4 linked regions of the Nothobranchius furzeri genome follow. The protein of the gene in region 1 interacts with the protein of each later gene in a pairwise test. Links are inferred from orthologs where the notes say so. Each region holds a gene or a part of one and is shown on either strand. Other genes may lie near its edges.

Evidence for each region.
Region 2: the proteins of ubash3ba (region 1) and fam168a interact in binary tests that used the Homo sapiens proteins (3 or more experiments, as listed by UniProt). The two-hybrid records come from large-scale screens. The link is inferred for Nothobranchius furzeri from reciprocal best matches to the Homo sapiens genes UBASH3B and FAM168A.
Region 3: the proteins of ubash3ba (region 1) and dazap2 interact in binary tests that used the Homo sapiens proteins (3 or more experiments, as listed by UniProt). The two-hybrid records come from large-scale screens. The link is inferred for Nothobranchius furzeri from reciprocal best matches to the Homo sapiens genes UBASH3B and DAZAP2.
Region 4: the proteins of ubash3ba (region 1) and double C2-like domain-containing protein alpha interact in binary tests that used the Homo sapiens proteins (3 or more experiments, as listed by UniProt). The link is inferred for Nothobranchius furzeri from reciprocal best matches to the Homo sapiens genes UBASH3B and DOC2A.

What each region holds. Positions count from the first base shown.
Region 1 is NC_091750.1:47,702,968-47,708,991, reverse strand, and holds the start of ubash3ba (ubiquitin-associated and SH3 domain-containing protein B), read left to right. Parts: upstream 1-2,595; 5' UTR 2,596-2,798; coding exon 2,799-2,926; intron 2,927-6,024. Other genes in the region: f11r.1 (F11 receptor, tandem duplicate 1), read left to right, coding at 49-156, 282-297, 568-625, 713-748. UniProt on the Homo sapiens protein: Interferes with CBL-mediated down-regulation and degradation of receptor-type tyrosine kinases. Promotes accumulation of activated target receptors, such as T-cell receptors and EGFR, on the cell surface.
Region 2 is NC_091753.1:35,546,353-35,552,413, forward strand, and holds the start of fam168a (protein FAM168A), read left to right. Parts: upstream 1-2,028; 5' UTR 2,029-2,222; intron 2,223-2,356; exon of another isoform or gene 2,357-2,477; intron 2,478-6,061. Other genes in the region: kbtbd3 (kelch repeat and BTB domain-containing protein 3), read right to left, coding at 1-252.
Region 3 is NC_091755.1:37,292,858-37,298,942, reverse strand, and holds the start of dazap2 (DAZ-associated protein 2), read left to right. Parts: upstream 1-2,114; 5' UTR 2,115-2,265; coding exon 2,266-2,278; intron 2,279-4,188; coding exon 4,189-4,307; intron 4,308-4,401; coding exon 4,402-4,650; intron 4,651-4,732; coding exon 4,733-4,861; 3' UTR 4,862-6,085. UniProt on the Homo sapiens protein: In unstressed cells, promotes SIAH1-mediated polyubiquitination and degradation of the serine/threonine-protein kinase HIPK2, probably by acting as a loading factor that potentiates complex formation between HIPK2 and ubiquitin ligase SIAH1.
Region 4 is NC_091756.1:34,725,238-34,731,293, reverse strand, and holds the start of double C2-like domain-containing protein alpha, read left to right. Parts: upstream 1-2,202; 5' UTR 2,203-3,083; coding exon 3,084-3,124; intron 3,125-6,056. UniProt on the Homo sapiens protein: Calcium sensor which most probably regulates fusion of vesicles with membranes. Binds calcium and phospholipids. May be involved in calcium dependent neurotransmitter release through the interaction with UNC13A.

The sequences.
Region 1 (6,024 bases):
TAGAATAGATTTTATTAATCTAATGACTCCCGTTGTGATTTCTTCAAGGTGACTTGAACACTGGAGGAATTGTTGCAGGGGTAATAATTTTTCTGCTGCTTCTGGGCCTCGTGATATTTGGTGTTTGGTATGCCAAGAAGAAAGGCTATCTGCCCAGTAAGTTTTCTGCATTGCATCACAAACATTCATGAGTATACATAGTCGAAATTTGACTGAAAGTTGTATGTTTAATGTTAGGCACCATTAATTTTAACGTGCTCCTGTTTCTTTTCTTTCCATAGCAGCAAAGACTGAAGGGTAAGACGTTTTTATATCGAGGATATTTGATATGTAAACTTTTTAAAATACTGATTTACAGATTTATTTACTAATAATATCAATGTTTGATTGTACACATTCTTGGGTCATTAGGAGTGGTATGTGTATATATATCTATATATATACACACACACACACACACACACACACACACACACACACACACACACACACACACACACACACACACACACACACACACACACACACACACACACACACTTATTATTTATTTGTTTGTCCCCACAGTAAACACAGGATGGATGCAGTCTACCAGCCCACATCACATGGTGGGGATGATGATAACGTGAGTATTTTAATGTATTTTTAATATTTTAATTGGAGTGTATGTTTGAAAAGGTCAAAGATGTCTGAGACTTGTTTTGTTTCACAGGGGGAATTCAAACAGAAGTCGTCATTTGTGGTGTAATCAACAGTCCGCTTACAGACTTGAACTTCCCTGTTTATTGTGATTTTTATAGTTTTTTTGAGTGCTGTTTCTATACATATGAGTGATGTGCTTTCAGAGTGACAATTGATTCAGATAATCTGCAGATTAAATACTTTTAATAAGAAATAAGGGAGTCTGTTTTTTTACATTTGTCGTGTTGGGCTGAAGCAGCTGCCCAGTGCGTTTCTACTTATGGAGTTATTATTATTTTGTTTAATCTAAATTCTGTATATCCAAGGTAATTGTTTACTATGAAGAAGAGAGAACAAAACCTCCTAGGACTATATAACAAATGCTGCTAATTAAAATACCTTCTCGAGTAGTTGTGCACCAACCAAGAAATACATTATCTGCAGTTATAACCTTACTTTAATATTTATAACTGCAGTTTAGCTTAAATGTTAAACTGATGTGGCTCAGCTCTGTTGGGGTGTTCGTTTTTCTCTGATGCATTGTACAAATTAGTTCTATTGAAGGGTTATTTTTGTAAATAAAGCTGCGTTCACTTAGAAAATTATTAGACTTGGTTGTCTCAGCGCTTTTGATGTTGATAAAACATTATATGATATTGTAATGTTTTTATTTTTTTACATTTTGTGCATACAAATTGTGTCACTTTTTTGATTTGCGTAACATCTTGTTGAATGCAATATGAAATCTTTTACTTTTTAAATAGACAATGAAATTCACAAATTTAAAAGCATGAATATTTGTGCAAAAACGTGGGTTGTGTGTTTTTTAGGGATCAGATAGAATAGACATTTATATGAACTCGGTAGTTGTAGTTTCCAAACTCAGAAATGTTTTTATACACATTTTTTTAAAAGTAATTTGGTTGTAATGATTTCAACTGATGTGAAAATACACTAACAATATTTGAAAACTGCTTTTGTCATTTCTTTTGTAAACAGGGTATACTCCATTAATAAAAATAGGTCTTTTGTGTCAATCTCAAAATTCACATAATTGATTTCATCATCTGCATGATTTTGATGTACAGAAGTTCATGTTGTGTCTCCATTAAAATTCAATCTGTAGTTTGTGTGCTGCTTGTCTTACACATATTTACACATTTTTTATAATTGAAATACAAAATGAAAAATAAATTAGCATGGCTAACACCATTATGAATTAACACAAACATATTTCAGTTTGAGTCTTGATTTTAAATACAACCCAATTTAAAGACATTGAAGTTCAAAATAATGATTTATGGTATTTTGTAGGCTATGAGAAAATAAATATGCTAAAAGCTTTCTGTATTGGCTAGTGTTGCGTTGCTGTGGTAACGTGATGGCGTGCAACTTCCCCTCCTGAAAGGTGCGCATGCGTATAGGATCGACATCCTATTACGCAAACAGGAAGTGTGAGCAACATTTTCCACCATTCAACCCTTACACAGGATTTATCCTCAAAATGCCCAAACTAATCCTAATACTTGTTCGCGCACTTACTATAACAAGTGTTTTATCGGGAAGAGCTTGTGTTAGTCATAGTTCCGCAGTAAAAAATGGTCGGAACAAGATTTACTGTCTGCTCGCAAATACTGTACTGTCCCTTTAATTGAAGGGGTCGCGCGCAGCTCGGACGCAATCGTTTAAAAGCTCCATCCCAGGCAGGCAGCTCCCCCAGTGTCCATTCATAAAACAAAACATCGTGTAGAGAGAAAGTTGTCGATTGGTTTTTCTTCGGTGGACTCGCAGGAGCTGGAATATGTTCGCATCTGTCGGGGACATGGCCCAGAGAGCAGAAGTGACTTCCCATGGCTGAGCCCCCTGCTGACGGGTTGGACTTCATGCTCGAGCCGCCAGCAGCAGGAGGCAGCTCGTTCCACCTCAGACCCAAAACATGCTCATTTCCTCGCAGCGTCTGGTGATATTAACTCGCTTCCGTTAACACGAAGTCACTGTGGGTTAAATAGCATATGCGTTTCCGTCCTCCTCCCTCTTCCTCCTCTCTTTTAATCTGCTGATAAATGAAAGTATACCAGAGGAGCTGTGGACCTGACATGCCGATGGGGCTTTGAGTTATGGCAGCCAAAGAGGAACTGTATGCCAAAGTGACACCGCGGAGGCAGCGCCAGAACCGGCCGAGCACCATCAAACATGGCTCTACGCTGGACGTGCTTCTGTCCATGGGCTTCCCCAAGACTAGGGCGTGAGTGCACTGTACACACACACACACACACACACACACACACACACACACACACACACACACACACACACACACACACACACACACACACACACACACACACACACACACACACACACACACACACACACACACACACACACACACACACACACACACACACAGCAGCTGATCCAGGAGCAGCATCGTTTGTTTTGTGTCCTGGTCTACAAGTTTCCTTTGAATCCAGCATCAGCAGGACCATCTCTGCTGCTTCTCTCCATGTTCCTGTCTCTGTTGGGTCTTTTTGGATGAAACTGTAAATGAGGCCAGATATTTTCCTAACCAGGACTTCTCAGTAAAGCTGACAGTAGCCTATGTGTCAACTATTTGATTATTTGGGCTTTTAAAAAGTTTGCTGGTTTGATATTCTCTAGTTTTAAAAGTAAGCAACATGATAAACATGACTGATAATGCTTGATAATATTTAATAAAGTAAACATTTGTACAGATTATACCACAATGAAAACACCTACACCTTGTGTAGACTGAGACAGGCCTACTATAATCTCATTTTTCATTGAAAAGCTTAGCCTCTCGTACATATTTTCATCCATTTTTGATTGAAGAAGTTGCCTGGAAACGAGCAGCATTGGCTCCTGACAGCAGGCTGTGAATTATGTAATTATATGAAACAAACATTGTGTCCATTCATCATGTGGGTTCTAGCTAAACGCCTCGCTCTTTAGCATGTACTAAACATTTAGGCTAAATCTGTGTTATTGTTACTTTAAAAAAAACATGTTGTAAATTAAGAGTAATCATTTAAATCCAATAAATCAAACTATATCTCAATTCATTTTCAAGACAACAAAGTTAGTAAAAAAAGGTGGTTTCTTTCTAACACGTTGGATAACTCACAAAAGAAATGTAGTAATTAGTATCAGTATCTGTGGCCAAATATGAATAGATATATAACAAGTGATGTACAGATGTGTTTAATTTTGCTAACTCTTCTCAGAATCTACCTAAAGTCCTCACAACGACCCTGTGTCATTGTCTATGAATCCCACGTTAAATATTAAGCCTAACTATTTAACCATAAAGGTCTTTTGTGTGTGCTATGGGCTCATTATTGTCTCCAGATATGAAAGGAGAACTAAAATGATTCTCTTGCTGTGGCAGGAACCTCACAGCACCATGGTTAGAGGCTTTTACTTTAAGCCTCCCTTTGTTAAACAAGGGTAATGATGAAAATGTTGATTATATTATTCTTTTCCAGCATGATGCAGTATCTATTATATAAGTTCATTTAAACCATGCAGGCTTTGGTAATTCACACTTCAGCTCTCTCATCCGGCTTTAAAAACCACAAAGTATAAAGTCTGTGGCTGAGATTCAACTGGAAATGAAAAGTCAAACCAACTCAGGTGTTCATTTAGGTGTGCACAAAGCTCAAGGATGTCTCTGGATGTGTTTTTAACACACACAAGTTTAGCAGCTAGCTGGTGAAAACCAAAACTAGAACAAAAACTAGGAGAATTCGAGATTTTCTCGCAATCTAAATAGAAAAGATTCTGTTCTAGAGGTCGACTGATTTTGGTTTGGTATATTACCAATACCAATGTCGATTTTTAGGAGACATGGTCAGCCAGTGGCTGATATACTGCTGATTTTTATGTGCAGACTTTCATGGCCTATATCCAGATGTTTTCCACCTTATTTTCATGCTAAAATGTCACTAATAACATCAGCTGGTGCACAAAATGTCTGAAGCTGAATCCGTTTTTGAACTCTGACTTTAACTATCTGTCAAATCTTCACTTTATGCACCGCTCAGTGTTAAAGCCAGGCATTTAGAGTATTTACTACGCAGATGTTATTAGTGAACGTAAAATTACATTTAAACTAAATTGTGCAACAGCACACAGATGGGTTTGACTTTAAATTGGCTTTTCTAAGAGCAAATATTGGCCGATGTATAAAAAAAATATCAGCTTGATATAAAGTGTAACTATAAGGAAACACATCTTCATAGAAGGTCTAGGATTGTTTGCATGAATTGATGTTTAGCAGTTTTAAGTTAATTCAATCCAGGTTTATTTATATAGCGCCAAATCACGACAAGAGTCGTCTCAAGGCACTTCACAGTAAACATTCCAATACAGGTCAGTTCATTCAGCCAATCAGAAAAAGTTTCCTATATAAGGAACCCAGCAGGTTGCATCGAGTCGCTGACTAGTGTCAGAGACTCTACAGCAATCCTTAATGCAGACTGAAATGCGTAGTTCCTGTTATCTTGGCCCTTTCTGCCTAACTCTTTAACTTTTCAGGTTTTGCTATCAGACTCCTTTTGCAGATGTTGATATGAGAGAATAAAACCAGAAGTAAAAGGGAAATCAGCCATCCATCATTGATTTGAGCTACAAAGACCTCATTGTGTTTGAGGTTTTTTTAAACATTGGGGGAACGTGAATCATGAACCGCCTCACGCATACAAAAAGAAGTGGACATGACTCGTCCACAAAGTGAGCCAAGTAATCATGATGAACGCTGCCGTCTTTGTAACGGTCTCTGAGAAATGATGCAGCATTATGACAGGTCAGCTCTGAGTAAAACGGGCTGATCAAAGTGTCACATGTCCGTCTTTTAAAGCGTCTCTGACCTATTTCCTGTTGTAAGACGTCCATAATACATAATACGTACAATACATAAGGTAGTTGTGTTATTAGGGTTGGACTTGTAGTCATTATAACAGCAGATAACATGTTGCTGCTTCCTTTAAGCATTTTAAAATAATCACTTCCTTGTATCACCGTGGTTTAACTTGTTATACCTTGCCTCTTCCATTTATTAGACCTTCCTCTTTTATTGTGCATATTTGTCTTTACCAGTGCACTTAAAACCCTCTGCATGCTCATGAATCAGTATTTTTTTGTGCTGCATGAATCTCACTAAGACGCTATTAAACAGGGTTTGTCCTGCTGTAAATGTGCTGATGTAGGGCTATTTTTGTTGCCAGAATAGTTAAAATACTGTAAATGTGTTATTTAAAATGTCATTCTTTAGCCGAGCTAACTGGAATTAAATACCAAGGCTGTGGAAACAATCCAAGTATT
Region 2 (6,061 bases), on another chromosome or scaffold:
AACACAGCGATGACAGGGGAAACTTTGTTCCTGTACCCTGATGATGAAATCAAACAACAAGCCTCGTTCTCTGAAGGACCTGAGCACACACAGAAGCTGCAGTCCATGGGTCTCTGACACACGAAGCAGTGTCCGTCTCTCTGGGAGCCCGTTGTCCTGTGGTGCACTAACAGTTTGACCTCTGGGAGGGCTGGAGCTGCTGGGGTTGTGGGAGGTAGTCAAACTGGCAAGTGACTCTGGATACTCATCCATATTGCCAAAACCTAAAATAATAATAACAATAACGATTATGATTATGGTTGCACAAAACAAATAAATATGTTTTGTATTTGCAATAAAAAAACCACTAAAAATAAACAATAATCTATTCTAATAACTAAAATAAACAGTGTGTGCACGCTAAGAACAAATTACTTCAGCAGCCCTATCATTTACTCTTGTCTCTATTTTAACCCTAAAACCAATATATGGGTGTTTAGCTCACTTGCGGCTCAAGTTAAATTTGTTACACTTATGTCGTGTTTTCATATCTCAAATATGAGACTGTAATACACTTGAAACTATTCAACAAAGCAATGTGGAACGAGAAGAGATACTCACGGGTTCAGCACCTCGGATAGCTCCTGTCACGTTTCGTTCTAACCTCCGGAAACGTAAAATAACGCGATAACTCGCGCAGCTTTTTGTTTTGGGTTTTTTCTTGTCAGGTCTTTGGCTTCTTACATAATTTAAATTGAAACTTATTTTGTTCAAGCGACAATTATAACACACTTGTCATAGCTACAACGGTCTAGCTGTATGCTAGTGTGCAGCTTGAGGGACGGGAGCGCAAAGGCGCCTGGGAACTGTAGTTCTCTTTTTATGAGAGCGTATGATAAAACCTAAACCATCGACATATATACGGTTGAAACATTAGCCTATAGTGAAGTCCGACCTAGGTCAGCATCCAAGCGATGTCAGACATCTTTTCTTTTGTATTTTTTAGAGAAATGATGCTAAAACCATTCTGCAGACTCAAAATGGGCTAGCTAACTGAAACACCTAGACTTTTTGCACTTTTAACTAATCTATAATAATTGCATAAGTAATTGCACCTGTGTATACGGCAATAATGCATTTTTGGGGATTAGTTGGGACCTCATAAACATAGGCTAAAATAAAGACAGTTTTTACAATATTTTAAGTTTATATAAAACTAAATAAAAATAATTTAAATAAAAGCAAGTGTCCTTGAATAAAACGACTTTATGTGAGGATGAAGGGTCACAGGAGGTCTTAACCATCACTGTTATAAAATTCATAATTTACATTTTCTGGTTTGAACTTTCTCAACGAAAATTATTAGAGTAAATAAAATAATAAATCAGTACTAAGATTATATATAAGTGTAGGTATATATTTAACAAAAATGCCTAAAGAAATCCTAAATTCCCATGCTGGATCTTCCGAGTTCACTATTACCCTTAAATGCATCATAACCATCAAGTGGTGCATGCTGGTGCATTCATGGCCACTTGGTGGTGCTGTTTCACTGTGGAGAAAGCAACGGATAAAGCATGGGACCGAAATGAAGAGTGAATAAAACAGAAGAAAAAAAATCTGTATTGGTGAACATGAACTTCCACATATCCTGCAGTTTAATTTAACCACCACGCGCAGTTTATGACAAAATAACACGATTCTTCTGGTCTGAAATATGAATACATACTGATCTACAGTCAACGTGATCTGAATATGTAATAATAATAATAATAATAAATTAATGTGATTTTTTTAAAAAGGAATCATAAAGTCTTTATCTTGATCATTTTTCATCAGTAAACCAACCTATTCTATAGGAATGATTAAAGGATGGATATATCCGGATGCCATTCCCATAAAACAAAGAACTGCTGTTCAAATTGTAATTGTGAATAATACAAATCTATTTCCTTTCTATTATTAGACACCTTCCACTTTACATGTATCGGTGGGTCATGCCCCCACCTCTGCTTGCATCCCTGCATCCCTCCCTCCTTCTCTCCCTCCCGGCGGCAGTGCATCCCCCATCCCCCACACGGTGGCCGTCTCTCCGGTTGAAAGCTGTCTTCCCAGCCGCCTCTGGCCCGACAAAACGCTGCTGTAGCAGAGCCAGTCCGCACCAAGCCGAAGCTGAGCAGAACCACGGGAGAGTGCACGTACACACCAGGGGGAGTCTTTTTCTGTTCGACCGGGTGGTTTTGGTGAGTCTAACACGCTTTTTATTGCGGACGGAAGGAACGTCCATGTTTCTACTTTTTAAGTTGTTCGGTTTTTTTGTCTGTTTTTTTCCCTTCAATTGTCCTCCGTGAGGAACTAGCGGGCTATGCTATGCTAAGCGGCTAGCTCAATTAGCGGATTCTACAACTTGGCGCATCGGGAGTGTTTTAAGTTATTTACGGTCAGTCGTTAACATCGACCCTGGCTTTTCACGTGCCGCCCGGTCAAACTCAACCATGGTTAGTGTTAATTGTCTTTTCTAATCCGTTTCCCCGGCTAGAATGCTAATTATCGATTTGAGCAGCGTGTACGGATGGACGCAGGGATGCGGCGGTGGGTTAGCGGTTGTCTTTTCAGCCGAGCTTCCAAAGGCTAAGCTAATGGTAGTTTTATATGACACGGGTTCCTGCTAAGGTGTGCTATAACAGCCACTCTAAATTCAGCCAATCTAGTGTTAATTGGCAAGATGGCATCTCGGAGTTGTTATCCAGAAATCGGTGGATTTTCAAAATGGTGTCTTAAGCTTGTTTGAGTGTGACCATTTTTGTCCAACCAGTGCTGTTTTGGCTCCAGTTGCTATCTCTGTTATGCAGCGCATGCCATGCTTCGATATAATATCATGTAAATACTCAGCAACAACAAAGTAAACCGTGTCCTCAAGGCTGCAGACTGCGTTATTAGGCGTAAAGAAGATGTGTTTTGGGTGGGTTTTATTTGTCTCTCTTGGCTTTAATGCTGTCAGGTTCAACAGGAAAGAAGCATGACGCACATCCCAGCACACTGCTTTATCTGGATGTAATTACGTGTTTACAAAATGCATCACTGGATTGTTTTTATATTTTAACTTTTTTAATTGTGAATCCCAAAACTAATAGTCACAGGTAGGACTTGTGTCTTTTGAAAGACGTGATAATCTTACTGTTTATATTGTTAAACTGTAGGGGATGGTGTTTTTTCTCAGTAGTACTTAAAGAGACAATGTGTAGTATTTACCGGTAATCTCTGCAAATATCCATCGAAATGTTGTTGAAAACGAATAAAATGATGCCCAGTTGTAGAAAAACATTGGCAACTTCATAACGTATAACCTTAAAATACATGGAAGTCTTAGTCTCTGGGTGACACCATATTAGATGCCATGTTTCTTTTTATGGGAGCCAGTGAGGACATAATACATTCACTGATATGTAACAGTTACAAAACTTTATTCATTCATTAACATTGTTTTACACATTTACCTCTTCACTCGTTGCCAGTGATGAAAGAAGTCTGGTGTGCCTGTCATTTTGTTGGAGGTTGCACTCCCAGGGATTTTTTACCCCAAATGGCCATCCATTGGTAAGGTCTAAAGCCTCATTCATTCTTCTCCATCTGCGCAGGTGAGGAGACACGTAACGCTATTATGAGTCGGTGCAAGGGCTCGACAGTCTCACAGAGGGTGACAGAGACATGCCCAAATTTTTAAATATCTGTCAAAAGTGACGGAGAATGCTAGCTTGTGATTAGTCAGGACACCGCTTCCTTTAAATGTGTCAACAGCTCCGCCATTGTCCCGTCAAAGGTAAAAAGATATTTAGCGGCAGACACGGAACAGATTGAAGAACTCATCATGGGAAAAAATCCAAAAATATGAACGCGTATTCACCCGTGACTGAAATGTGGAGCAGATGTTTTATTAATGGACAGAAACGATGGGGAACGTGGGTTTAGAGGTGGCGACCACTTGAGATGTGGAGGAGGATGAAGGACAAATTCGCCTGTGTTATAAAGTCTCTGAAGTATAAAAACACATTAGTAAATACACCATCATGGACCGGATATATGAGTGTAATGGTGGCATGATGCCACAGAACAGCGCTATGCCCTCTGTTGTCTTGCGAGGAGTTGCTTTGCAACACTCCCCAGGAGACGAAGTGAGAGAGCAAAACGTCTCTGTCAATGCATGTGTGTCTCCCTTTACAGAGCTGACAGAGAAATATAAACCAGACTTAAAGCTTAATTTATATTCCTCCGTCAGCTCCACGAGGGAGACACATGCACTCACAGAGACGTTTTGCTCTCGGACTTCTCCATCTCCTGGGGAGTGTTGCAAAGCAACTCCTCGCCAGGACAACAGAGGGCACAGCGCTGTTCTGTGGTATCCTGTCATGTATCTGGTCCAACATAGAGCATTTACTATTCTGTTTATATTGTGTTTTTTGTATTTCAGAGACTTTGTAACATGGACAAATTTATCTCTCATCCTCCTCCACCTCTTAATGTGCTCACCACCTCTAAACCCACATTTCCCATCATTTCCGTCCACGGATAAAAGCTAGCTGCGTATCTTTTCACTCCCCCAGTCATGGGTGAATAAAACGTTCATATTTTTAGAATTTTTCCGTGAGGCATTCTTCAAGCTTCTCTGTGTCTGCCACTAAATATTTTTGGTTTTCTTAATGTTTTTTAGGGCGCGATGGCGGCACTGTCAACGACAGTGGCATCCTGACCAATCACAGGCTTGCGTTCTCCGTTTCGTTGGACAAATGTTTAGAAAAGAGAACTCGACTCCGTCCTTGCAAGCCTCCTGGAGAGCCCTCGAAAGGACAGATAATGGCGTTGTGTGCGTCCATCCCGACTCAGACCGGGAAGAATAAATTAGGCTTAAGTCTCTTGATGACGCCATTTTAGATTCTGTTTTCTTCTACCTCTTCGCTTGTTGTCGGTGATGAAAGGGAGTCTGATGTGCTCCTCAATTATTTATTAGAAACACTTTATTTTCATAAAATACAAACAATGTCATCTTCTAGTTAATTTTTATAAAGAAAATAATTTTAGACAAATGAGAGTATATTAAAATCAACAACACATCCTTTCTGGGATCTTCACACTGAAATTTGATATTGGCAGTTATGAACTAGGATAAATATTTTTTATTCTAAAGATGCAGTAAAAAGCGAGTCTAAGCTAAAGCGAATGCATCTCTCTTCAAAGAGTTCAAATGATTACAGGTCCTCGTTGGATTGCGTCATCAGCCTAAGGTGACCTCTGCCTGGTTATACTGTGGGGGGTGTCTCCTGTGTGTGAATAATGGAGTCTACAAGGCAGCTGTAAAACCGTCAGACCATTGAAAGCTGGAGCCATAAAATGTTTCGACAGAAAATGGTTCTCTTACAGACGACAGTCTTTTCAGCACTTCAAATAGCATAACGATTAGCTTGCAACAAACAAGTGAATTAAACAAATGGCAGCTGAAGAGTTCGGCTAACTTCCGGTTTATCTTGTCCAGATCTGTATCATTCGATTAGATATCTTTTATTTATACTGGTAGATCCAGCTAATTAAATTTCTACACTAATGATGTAAGTAAATAAAAGGTGACGATTCATTCAAACTGTGCGTTATTAAATCTCTTAGATCAGGGTTGGGGAACCCTGGTCCATCGAGGGTTGCTATCCAGCATATGTTAGTTTCAACCCTGCGTCATCACACCTGATTTCAATCAGCAGGTGATTAACAGGCTTCTAGAGAGCTGATGAGCTGCAGAACAGGTGAATCAACCACTGAATCAGAAGTGCTGGAGCAAAGACATGCAGGATGCCAGCCCTCGAGGACCAGGGTTCCCCACGCCCGCCTTAGGTCATCGATGGAGGGTTAGATGACCTATCTAATAAAAACAATAAGTATGGCAAAAAATGTGTGTATTGTTAATTGGAAGTTCATAAGTTGTGTTTGAGCTGTATAAAATCCACAGGAAAGCTCAAGATGAATTAACTACAAGACACATAGTTTATTTAAATGTTCTCAAATATATTTATGGTTCATTTTGATCACTGAATTCAAC
Region 3 (6,085 bases), on another chromosome or scaffold:
TCATAGTGACTACGTCTAAATAAATAGCACTGAAAAGGAAAACTGTGGGAGCTGTGCAATGGCATATATTTCTTGATCATCCCAGAACTCCTGCTGCTGGGAACATTCTCAGATGTAAAGAGAGCCAGAGATCGGTGAACAGAGGTGAAGACAGGATCCACATCCACTGCAGAGATCACCACATCAGAGCTCTCCTCAGTTAAACACACTGAGACTCGTCAGATAATCAGCAACTTGTTATGTTGATGAACTGATCCCATGAGCAGTTTCTCACTCAGCAAACACGTCTGCGTTGCACTGATAGCACAGGAAATATAAAAAAATACAGTGAATCTCACACGTCCAGCTGAGAGTGAGCATTTCGCAGCAGCAGACCATCATCCACCCCCACATGAGGCTGTAGGCAAAATCTACTGAAAACAATGAACATGCAGTAACAAGTATTAAAAAACTATATCGTAATATTGTAGTCAGTGTTGGGAGTAACGTGGTACAAAAGTAATTAATTACTGTAATGCATTGCTTTTTGCTGTAATGTGTTAAAGTAAGGCATTACAGGGAAAGAAAAACATTTACTCGGTACAATTGTCAGTAACGCGGTAATTACAATGCTTTTTTAAACCCAGAATCAGTTCAAATTGCGGGAAGCCTGAAAAAAGATCCAGTATCTACATATATGACGTCATTTATGGACTCAGCTTTGCGGGCGTTCTATGAGCAGAGAGGACGCAGCGGTAATGGCTCAAATACTCCAGCTGCGTCCTGCGCGCGGCCGCTGTTATATTCACAAAATCGCTCCACCAAAACCAGTGGCGTGTCCATATCTTTTAAAATGGGGTGGCCCAGTTGAGGGACAACTTTGTGCATGGGTGGCACCAATGGTTATGCTTTTTTTGTTTTACCCCCAAGCCTTTTGTGGACAATGAAAAGCCTATTTAAAGGTAAATTAGTGTGATGGCACCTGGGGTGGCCAATCAGATTCCAAGGGTGGCATGTGCTACCCCAGGCCACTCCCTGGACACGCCTCTGACCAAAACAAAGTAATTCGTGTGCGATCGTTTATATCAGTCCATATTCTCTGGTACTTCATGTACTTTTCAGCTGACTTCATAATCTGTGCCCCGGTGATTTCAACTTATTGCTGCTGGAGCGCAACGAATATTAAGCTTTTTTTAAAAAAATGTTTATTTTATTTTTTTGTGGGTTTGGTAGATCCCTTTGGCTGATTAGTTAGAAAGTAAGAAATTTAGGGAACAGTTTTTCTGGAAGACGGAGAAAACATGCAGCATGCAGGAAGGTTAGAGAGAAAAAGGGCAGGAAATTATTCAAATAAAATCAAGAAAACAAAACAAAGTGCTTCAAAAGAAAAAAGTAGGTAGATTTATCCCCAATACACATTTTTACCAGTGAAAAGCAATAATATATAAGCATTTAATATTTATACATGTGATAGAATCAGATCACCCCAGAAGTCAGTCCCACATCCAGGGCCATATCAAGGCATTTGGGGACCAAGGCAAATATAGGCTTGGAGCCCCCACCATGCTCAGTTAATATAAGATGGCAGCGTGCTGAGAGTACAGATTGTTGTTGCTTTTATTTAATAAACAATAATTTTAAAGCACTGTTATTATATCTGACTGTTTTTAACAGCAACCCTAGCTAGCTCAGACACATCGACATACATATATGGACAATGGGTTTCCATAGACTTGCTCTTGCATTGTGGGGGCTTGCTCAGACACCACATCACTTTCCACATATATGTCATGAGCTCACTGAGCGTCAGATTACCAGATTCATATTGAAGTTGTATTGTTGAAAGTAACTTAAAGTAGTTCAAAAGTAGTTTAATGCCTTACATTTTAAAATCAGTAATATTGTAATGTAATGAATTACTTTAAAATGAGGGTAACAAGTAATAGATAATGCATTACAGTATTGAAGTAACTTGCCCAACACTGATTGTAGTACGCACTTAAGTATTAATTTCATTTTACGTTTAGCTAATATTTAGGGTTTTTTGTGCTTTTCATATTCCTTTAAAAACAAATCTCATTTCCTCCAGAAGGGGGCGCGCGCGTGCAGGTGAAACTGAGCGTGCGTCCGACCGCAGATAAAGAACGGGTGACGTAACCACTTCCACAACAACAAGAAGCTGAGAAACAAGGAAGTGTCAAGCCGTAAGCTATTATAAGGCCGAGACAAGATACACAAAGCGCCGTTTAATCTGATGTTCCTCAGCCTCCGAATCAGTCCACAACAATGAATAACAAAGGTATTTCTCCGTCGTGTGTTTCATTTTCCAGCTAGCTACTCGTTACTTGACGTTGGCGTTGTAAGGAAAGACGAGGAGCTCGCGTTGTGGCCAACTGAAGCTACGTACATAACAATAAACTGACGCACACTCCGAACCAAGCTGTCTTGGATATTGCTAACGTCGGATGTCCGAATTTAGTTTCACATTTTGTTATTTGACCAAAACGGGCCGGTCAGATGTGTTCCAGCAAGCTAACGTGATTATAAAAGCAAATCTGACATGGCTTTCCTGTTTTTGTTGGGGAGGGGGGGAGTTCTTGTTAACAAAGAACATCCCGGTTACATTTATGTTTTTAGACCTGTTCGGCGCAAAAATGCACCAGGTTGTTTATTTCTTCTTTTGTTTGTCTTATTTGAGCTTAGATTGTCTTTTTGTAGCATGACATCTTTGTTCGTGGCTAATGCTAATGACATTTCATGATATTTTTCTTACTGAATTAATTGTTTCACTAAAGCTAAAATAGAAGCAGACATTTTATTCAAACTGTAATGCGCGATGGTCGATTTGTCATGTTGGAAAGACAAAGAAAATGTAAAATTCACATTTGTTTACTAACCACCAGGCTTTTGTGCGTTGTGTTAATCAGATTCGGCTTTATAATAAAATCTTCCATTTACATTTTATTAATTTCTAATCCGTTCACTTGTGTTTTTACAAGTAATACATTTTTACCCTTTGCTTATACTGTCTGGGCTGAGAAAAGTGATTATGTCTAGTTTCCTGGTATTGTTTGCCATACAATGCACTCAAAACAAAACTAGAAACTCTCTTGGCAGTGACAGACTTGCTACAGTCATCACATAGTTTGTTATAATTATGCACAACAGTTTCAGTTGCTTAAATAAATCCCCCCTGATGATATTAAATAACATGTTTCCATCAATATTTAAACATTGTTCTTTCTTTTACTGCCGCCAAATGTTGGACCTAAAGACACTTTGTGTCAAAATCTGGTTTTTGTTCTTTTGTCTGTAAAATGTAGAAACGTTCAAAGTTGTACCCGAAAAAGACCAACGTTAGCTTCAGTATACAAGACATTGGGATTTTCTGTAACGTGTACCACTCAGTAGTTGCGTTCACATCAGTAATAATTTCATGTATTTAGCTGTAAATGTAATCAGCTCCCTCCCATCTCCACTCAGAAGCAGCATCAGTTTATTTATGATGATGATGATGATTGAGAAGAAGTACTTGCAGCTTAATGTTAGTAGTCAAAGTCATTAGTAATAATCAGGGATGTGTATTTTTGTAATTCTGGCGATACGATACATATCACGATACAGGGGAGACGATACGATGTATCCTGATATATTGCGATACATTCAGTCAGACGTTACAAGCTATTTTTTACTGAATTTATTATAAGCATGTTCAATAAACAGTCAAAACTGATATGTAACATGTTTAACATGAGGTATCTGAACCATGATGGAGGGATTTACAGTTCAATGGTGGAAACAAAACCCGTTGCACACTGCTGCCAACTAGCGGGTGGCGATTGAATTGCACAAAACGAAAAGAAAATACACAAATGTTTGCATGTTTGCATTCTTTCAAGAATTAGATACACGGCTTTTGAATATCAATGTAATAATCACAGGGAAAAATATCACGATATATTGCCATATCGATATTTCCTATATGCGGCTTTTGAATATCGATATAATATTGCTGGAAAAATATCGCGATATATTGCCATATCGATATTTCTGATACACAGCTTTTGAATATCGATATAATATTGCTGCGAAAAATATCACGATATATTGCCATATCGATATTTTCTTACATCCCTAGTAATAATGAAACGGTTCTCATCCCATAATTCTTCAGCTGTGCGTGTTTAAAAGTGAAATGTTGTTTTGCAGGCTCATACCCACAGCAGGCTGTGTACCCTCAGCAGAGCTCTGCACCTGTATACCCTCCTGCTATGCAAATGTCTCCTCAGGCACCTCCATACTCAGACACACCACCTGCATATTCTGAGGTAACGCTTGCATCTACAGGTCAAGCCTAGATTAGCTTTTTTTTTTTTTTTAGTATTCTTCAATTAAATCTGTTTCTCGTGTCTTTGTATGCAGATATACCAGCCCAGATACGTGCTTCCACCTCAGGTGCCTGGTCAGGTGCCTCAGATGTCCTCTCCCTACCCTGGTGCTCAGGTGTACATGCCCATGCAGCCACACATGCCCGTTGGTCCGGTGGGCCAGAACGTTCCCATGGCTTACTATCACATGGGAGCTGTTTACCCCCCTGGTTCAACAGTGATGGTGGACGGTGGCTTTGATGCTGGAGCTCGTTTCACAGCTGGCAGCAGTGTTTCCATCCCAGTGAGTACGGAGTGACTTAACCTGTAGCCAAGGCCTTTGTAACTCTTAACCTGCCACTGAGCTCGTTTCTCCTCTTCTCTAGCCCCCACCCCCTGGACACCCCCCTAATGCAGCTCAGCTGGCTGCCATGCAGGGTGCCAATGTTGTCATGACACAGCGCAAGAACAACTTCTTCCTGGGCGGATCCAGTGGAGGTTATACCATCTGGTAACAGCAGCTACTCCCCTCCTTGTTTATGCCTAAACCGTACCCCCGTCCCAGATGATTCCCCAGACCCTCCCTTACTCCATACGCCTTCCTCTTCAGGCTGCTTGGCCATGCCACAATACTGATATCACCTAATGGAATGTAATATTTTAGAGCCCTTTGTGAAAGGTACAGTACTCCACTTCTGACCTAGAGATGACCGTCGCCGCTTGGAGAGGACAAAACGCTGATTTTAAATGTTGTGATACTTCCTGTAATCTTTCATTTGACCGAATCTCTTAAATCATTCCAGATTGGACTTCTTTCAGGCATCTGTTCAGGAGACCCGTTCTTCTTTGATCAAATGGCCACAAATGGCACTGAGATGTCCTCTTCTTCCTGTAAAACCCACAGAGTCAGAACACCAGACCTGCATTACCTAGTTTAGCTGCTTTATGGTGAAAGTGAAACGCAAAGTTGCAGTCAAATAAAAAGAACTCTCCACCTGTCTTTTTTTAAATATTTAGTGTAGTTGAATTAATCGGTGTGCAATAGTTAAATGTGTAAATACCAGTAGGATGGTCATGAGACGCCACATCTCAGCTCTATAAGAAAAAAACAAAAGATTTGGCATCCTTGATGCTTTTAGTTAGAACTGTCTTGTCTTTTGCACAGTGTCAAAAAGAAAACCACATCAAATTTGTTGCACAGTGAACGGTCTGAGAGACCGTTCCGTTTGAATCAGCTGTAAATTAAATAAATTCAATTTAAAGCAAAAGAAAACAAGTTTAATAGATTTAATGCAATATCTTAAGTGGTTTACTGTACCTTGTCGGGCAACTTGTAGATGAACATAGTCAAGTGCCAAAGAGCACTGGGGATAGCCCTGAATCGAAGCAAATTAACTTCAGTAAACTTAAAGGAAAGAAGTTCAAAGTAAATCCAAATAGTAAGATGAGGGTAAGGGTGGTTGGTGTAACATTTGAGCTTCTTATGCATCCTGTTTCTGTTTCACAGTCGGATACCCAGAGTTTTATCACTAAATGTTTATTGTACAGATTTTCAGAGCTACGTTTTTATTTCCTGTCGCTATATCATTTAGTATCAACCACGTTTCTTCAGAAAATGGCCGCCTTCAGAGGAAAAAGAATCATGTTTTCTTTTCTAAGTTCTTGTGAACATCACAGGAATTCACATGAGTAGTTAGGCTAATAAATTTGATAGTATAACCAATGAGCTGGTTGTACCA
Region 4 (6,056 bases), on another chromosome or scaffold:
TTATGTTATCAAGATATCAAGACAGGCCTGTAATCTGCCTACTGATTAGGTTCATCAGGGTTAATGGATAGATATAACTGAGTATCATCAGCATAACAGTGGAAGTTTATCCCATGCGGTCTAATGATTTTACCAATTGAAAGCACATATACATATATATATATATATATATATATATATATATATATATATATATATATATATATATATATATATATATATAAGAATTGGTCCAAGCACTGGACCCTGTGGTACTCCACAAATAACCCTGGTGTATGAAGATGTGTCATGTATGTTTACAAAAGAATTATATCAGACAGGTAGGATTTAAACCAGCCTAGCACTGTTCCTTTGATCCCTACAACATGTTCAAGCCTTTCTACAAGAACATTTTGATCAGCTATGCCAAAAGCAGCCCTGAGATCTAAGAAGACTAGAACATTGCATTTACACTGAGAGTAGGAAGCTGTGTGCTTCACTTCAGGGTCTAAAAGCGACACTGCTCACACCCGCTTACTTAGGAATGACACTACGAACTTATCCGTAACACTTTAGCAGAGCCATGTCTGCTTTCCTGAGAAGGCCATGTAAACACAACCTGGCCATGCAGGGGAGGGCTGTCTCCACCCAGCCCAAGCCAAATGAGCCATTGGAGTGATGGGCTTTATTTTCCAAAATGGTTCAAATGAAGGAAACTAGACTTCTTTGGTTTTCTGGAGACATTTTGCTTCTCATCAGCTTTGTCAATTCTGACTGCAGTATTGGAGGGTCAAGCTTATACATTATAGCTGTCTATTGTTATTTAACAAGCAGAAACTACTCTGAGTAGCCCTCCTCTCTCTCTAAATATGGTATAGTATTAGAGGAGCAATGGGATGTGCTGAAGAAGGCTTTGAGCAGTGGTTGTTCTTTCCCATCATCAACACAAGATCTTTTACAGCAACACTGGATGGAAAAAAATCTTGTGACACCGTCGAAGCTGTGGGGTCAGATAGTGTAACACAACAGTATGAAATGACATAATTTACTGTCTATATTGGGAAGTTTATCTTAAATTTATCTCAAAGTTAACAAAATATAGGAAGAAACTATATGAAAAAACACAAAGCTGCATTTGTCATCACAATCCCTCCGACTGTGGAAGCTTCCAGTTCTCAGATATGTCAAACTTAAATGGGAGACTGTTTTTGTCAGGAACCGCCCACTGCTGTAAATATAATTACCTGACTCTGGTCCCTTAGGTCCTGGGCATGGCTGGGTGAAGCTGTAATTATTGACCACAAATCATTTTTAGGAGTTGACCATTTAGCCCTTTGGGTTTAGGTTTTTCTCCATGAAACCTCTGGTTGAACTCAGACTAACAGCAACATGTTTAAATTAACTAGTTTCTTCACACAAATTCACAGATGACTCCATCTGTCTGAGACACCAATTAATCAACAATCAGCCAGACGATAGTTGAGCAATCAGACAGCAGCAACATCTCTGCCTCTGAGGAGACCTTTAGGATTTCATCAGTTTATTGTACATCAGTGTGCTGCTCAGCCACCTCAGGGTTTAACCTGTAGTCATGTCGATGGTGGATTCACCTGTTCAGGGATACATGAAAGCCGGTGAAACACCTTCTTGTGTGTGTGTGTGTGTGTGTGTGTGTGTGTGTGTGTGTGTGTGTGTGTGTGTGTGTGTGTGTGTGTGTGTGTGTGTGTGTGTGTGTGTGTGTGTGTGTGTGTGTGTGTGTGTGTGTGTGTGTGTGTGTGAGATGGTAGAAGGACGCTGCAGGAGGAAGCGAAGCAAATCAGTCACATTCACAACTGTTAAGGAATAAGTCCCCACTGACTCTCTCTCTCCCTCCTTCTCTCTCTTTCTCTCCTCCTCCCGTCTCCCTCCCTCCCACCTCCTCCTTTCCCTCCAGTTTCCTGCGCTCCTCTCTGCTCTTCATTCCGTCTCAACTTGAACTAACCACTCAATTGTTTTTTTAATGATACCCCGAGCGCTCATTCTGCCTTTCTCCCTCCATCTCCCTTTACTCCCTTCTTCTCTCTTCACCACCTGTTAGTTGCCCGCATCTCCCTTCTCTGGAATTCCTCCCTTTTTCCTCCCTTTTTTATGAGGAGTTTCATTCTTGTTCTACCACTGAGGTAAGACAGCATTTCATTCTTTAATTATGAGATATAAGGGGCTTGGACTGTTTGTGTTCGTTAATTAATAATTTGTGTATTTATTTCATAATTTGATCATATCATGAGACTTTTTTGTGATTTCAGATCTACTTTTTGTGTCTTGTCTTCCGCAAGCATTATTTCTGCTGCAGCAGACGGGCGCAACACGTGTCTGTCTTAGTTTCTCTTTTCCTGCTCCTTCACTTCGCCATCTCACACACACACACACACACACACACTGACGTTTACTCATCCCTGCCTGCCTGAAAATATCCAGACTCTAATTGACATGCCCTGACTGTCACTGTGTGCTTAGTTATAAACGATGCTGCCTATTACCGTCTAATGAGAGGCTTCACTGTGCAGCACTGTACCACACCATCTGCCTGTCATCCAGGAGCTTGTTATTTAAAGGTGAGCTGCGTCCGCTTCGGGGTACGAGCACAACACAAGAGCAGCAGAGGAGAGGGTAGGAGAAGTCCTCACACAGCTACAGGTGAAATAAAAACATCTGAGAGAGGCGGAAGGAGACCCAATGAGACAAAATAAGAGGGAGAAGCAGAGAGGTGAATTTCTGATGGTGATGATGAAAAGGTAGGGGTTGAGGAGGAGAGCGACCATGCCTGTCATATGACTCTAATTCAAAGTGATGGAGCTAAAAGAGGAGGGAGGGGGAGGCTGCATGTTGGACAGAGATATTCCTGATGGATATTTTAAAAGCTTCCTCCTAAATCTGTAAAACCCGTCAAAGAGCAGAAGGAGTGTTTATAGCTGCAGGGATACGAGCTGGAATGTATTTAAACTCACGGGAATTAAAGTCACATTTGGGATGCTTTAGGTAGATTAAAGTTGTGTTTCACCACACACAGATGAGCTGAAGAGGTGAAGTCTCTATTTTTCTGCATTCCTCTGGAACAAAGGAGGATGATAGATGGAACGATGAGAGATGTTGCAGCTGGCAGCAGGTGAGCGCTCAATCATGAGAGATCCGAGCCTACGGGCTTCACGGTGGTTCTAGTGCTGCTGCTGGTGTTCGAGCTGCCCCAGCTCACAGACACATCTGTCAGAACTGGGGGGGGGGGGGGGGGGGGGGCGAGTGACTGTGCACATTATGTCAACACTCATGCCCTCAACAAGCAAGCATTCGTGTGTGTGTGCGTGCATGTGCGTGCTTTGATGATTAATGCATTCTACCTAATAATTATCATTAATTACAAACTCATTCCTGGTTTTTGGTCTTGGTGATGACAGGGAGCTTCATTCACTTGTTTTCTTCAGCTCTCAAATCTGTTTTGCTAAATTTGAATATTCAGTTAAGGTGTGAAGGGATTCATGAGGCCAATTACTGCAACTGCTGATTAAATTGTGACAAAAAGTTGCAGATTTGATGTTGACATCATCGACTGAGCTGTTCACAAGGGCCATAAAGCTTCTGCTGCTTTTCAAAAGGCAAGGATGTTCATGGTCTCTTGTCCCCGAGCCAAAAGCCGGTCACAGTCCTTTCAGTCAGACGAAGGGAGGAAGCTGGTTCTGGTGCTGGCCCGCCATGACGCGTTTCAGAGGCGGCCGAGCTAAAGCTGGATGAGCCGTGGTACGTTCTAACCACAGTGATGAGACTCGACCACATATGATGAACGACCTGCTCTGCTTTTAATTTCACTGAAGGTCAGCAGTCAGAGGCAACGCTTTCAGAGTCAGGGCACATTAACTTCATCCTGATGAATGTAGGCTCTGAGATAAAAACCCGTTTACTGGTTTTGACCTTTGAAACAAAATGTGTCAACAAATAAAAGCATCTGGATCATCTGAAGTGCACAAACTAAATAATCAGAAAAACACATTTCCTAGATTGAGGATAACTGAAGGATGAAGACCCTCACTATGCTGTGTCTGTTTGATGATTTTCTCAGAGAAAATAAAAAATACTGTTGAGGGATCAAAACCTCATAAAAACATCACTGCAGCACCTGTAGCAGATGGCTGACTTCACATCTGATGATGATCTTGAAACAAACACTCAGCCCCCTCCAGAAACATTGAGGTGTTTGGTTGTAGACAACAATTTCTGTAAAATGCGTCATAAAACATAAGTTCTGAGTTCAGATTTTCAAATTAGACTTCATCTCACTCATCAGTGCTACTTTTAGTTGTAATAAGCTCGCTACAATCTTCAGTATGTTACACAATTTCATCTAAATGCATTTTTGAGTGATTTTTAAAGTTTTTTATTAATCATGAATTAGGGATTATTTAATGACTCTGCTGTCTTATTAGCTACTTTGTTGTTGACTTTGAGGACCCGCTCGAAAATGAGATGTTACATCTCAAGCGGTTTACATCCTCATAAAACATAAGTAAAATAAATAAATGAAATAATAAATGCACTATAAATATCACTATAACTTTAGTATGACATGATTTATACATTTATTTACTGTATATAATATCATCAGTGATATTGCTTAATATTTGTGCTAAAATAACCTTGTAACATGGCAGTTGTAAACTTTGTAGTTGGATCCATTTGAAACAGTTTGTCCAAGTACAAGCTGCTCAGGAAGAAAGCCACAACGAGTTAAATAATAGCTCTTCATTACTTTATTGTTACAATCTGGTCTTAAAAAGGTGAAGGAGGGTGTAACACAAGGAGACGCGTGCAAGAAGTAAACAGTAGGTTTTTATTTGCATGGGGAGCTGGGTGCTAGTAACAAACTTAAGTGATAAAAGTTTTAAACAAGGTGACAATGATAAAACAATCCGAACTACAACTAAAATTAACTCAGGAGGAAGAAAATCAGCAAGCTTCTAACTGAAGTCGACTAAAGTTAAATCCACTATATGAACTAACTAACGAGGCTCTAAGGCTGTACCAGTAAGCTAACTGAGGGCTATGGCATCAAACACATGTGCAAAGCACTACGGCTCTCTGGTTCACTATCCGTGTTCCAACATGACCAGGGGAATCAGCACAGATCAGGTAGCCTCAGCATTTATAAGCCTCAGCAGTTGTCAGTTGATTAGGAACAGCTGTGTTGGTTGCCTTCAGGACGGAGGTTGGATGGGAGACCAAACGCAGCGCGCCGCTGTCCGTGGTGCTGATCATGGGGAGCAGGAGATGATGCTGTCTGCCCAGATATTCTCACATTGGTGACTCAAACTGGATTATTTTTTGACAATGAACCTTGTAGTTAAACTGTTGTAGACAATGAACAAAACAAATCTATTTCATAATTTTAAAGTGTTTAAACCATTTATTGCCTAAAAAGCGTCTTGTGATGTTTAATCAAGTTTTTAGTCCAATTTCAAATTTTTTCCACTGTGTAATCTGTTCATAACTTTTATGGACAGGGTTTCTAAGCACAGCCAAGGTGTTGAGGGCATCTGTTATGGTGGTCTAAGGATCGGGTCTTTGCTTTTTGCAAATGTTGTGGTCCTGTTGGCTTCATCAGAACGTGATCTCCAGCTTTCACTGGAGCGGTTTGCAGCCGAGTGTGAAGCGGCTGGGATTAGAATCAACTCCTCTAAATCTGAGACCACGGCCTTAAGTCAGAAAATGGTGAATGCCTTCTCTGGGTCAGGGATGAGGTCCTGCCCCAAGTGGAGGAGTTCAAGTATCTTTGGGTCTTGTTCATAAGTGAGGGAAAGATGGAGCGTAAGATCAACAGGCAGATTGGTGCTGCATCTGCAGTGATGCATGCATTGCACCGATCTGTCATGATGAAGAGAGAGCTGAGCCAGAAGGCAAAGCTCTCCACTTACCGGTCGATCTACGTTTCTACCCTCACCTATAGTCATGAGCTTTGGCTAGTGACCGAAAAAAAAAAAAAAACGAGATTGCAGATACAAGCAGCTAAAATGAGTTTCCTCCACAGGGTGGCTGGACTCTCCCTTAGAGAT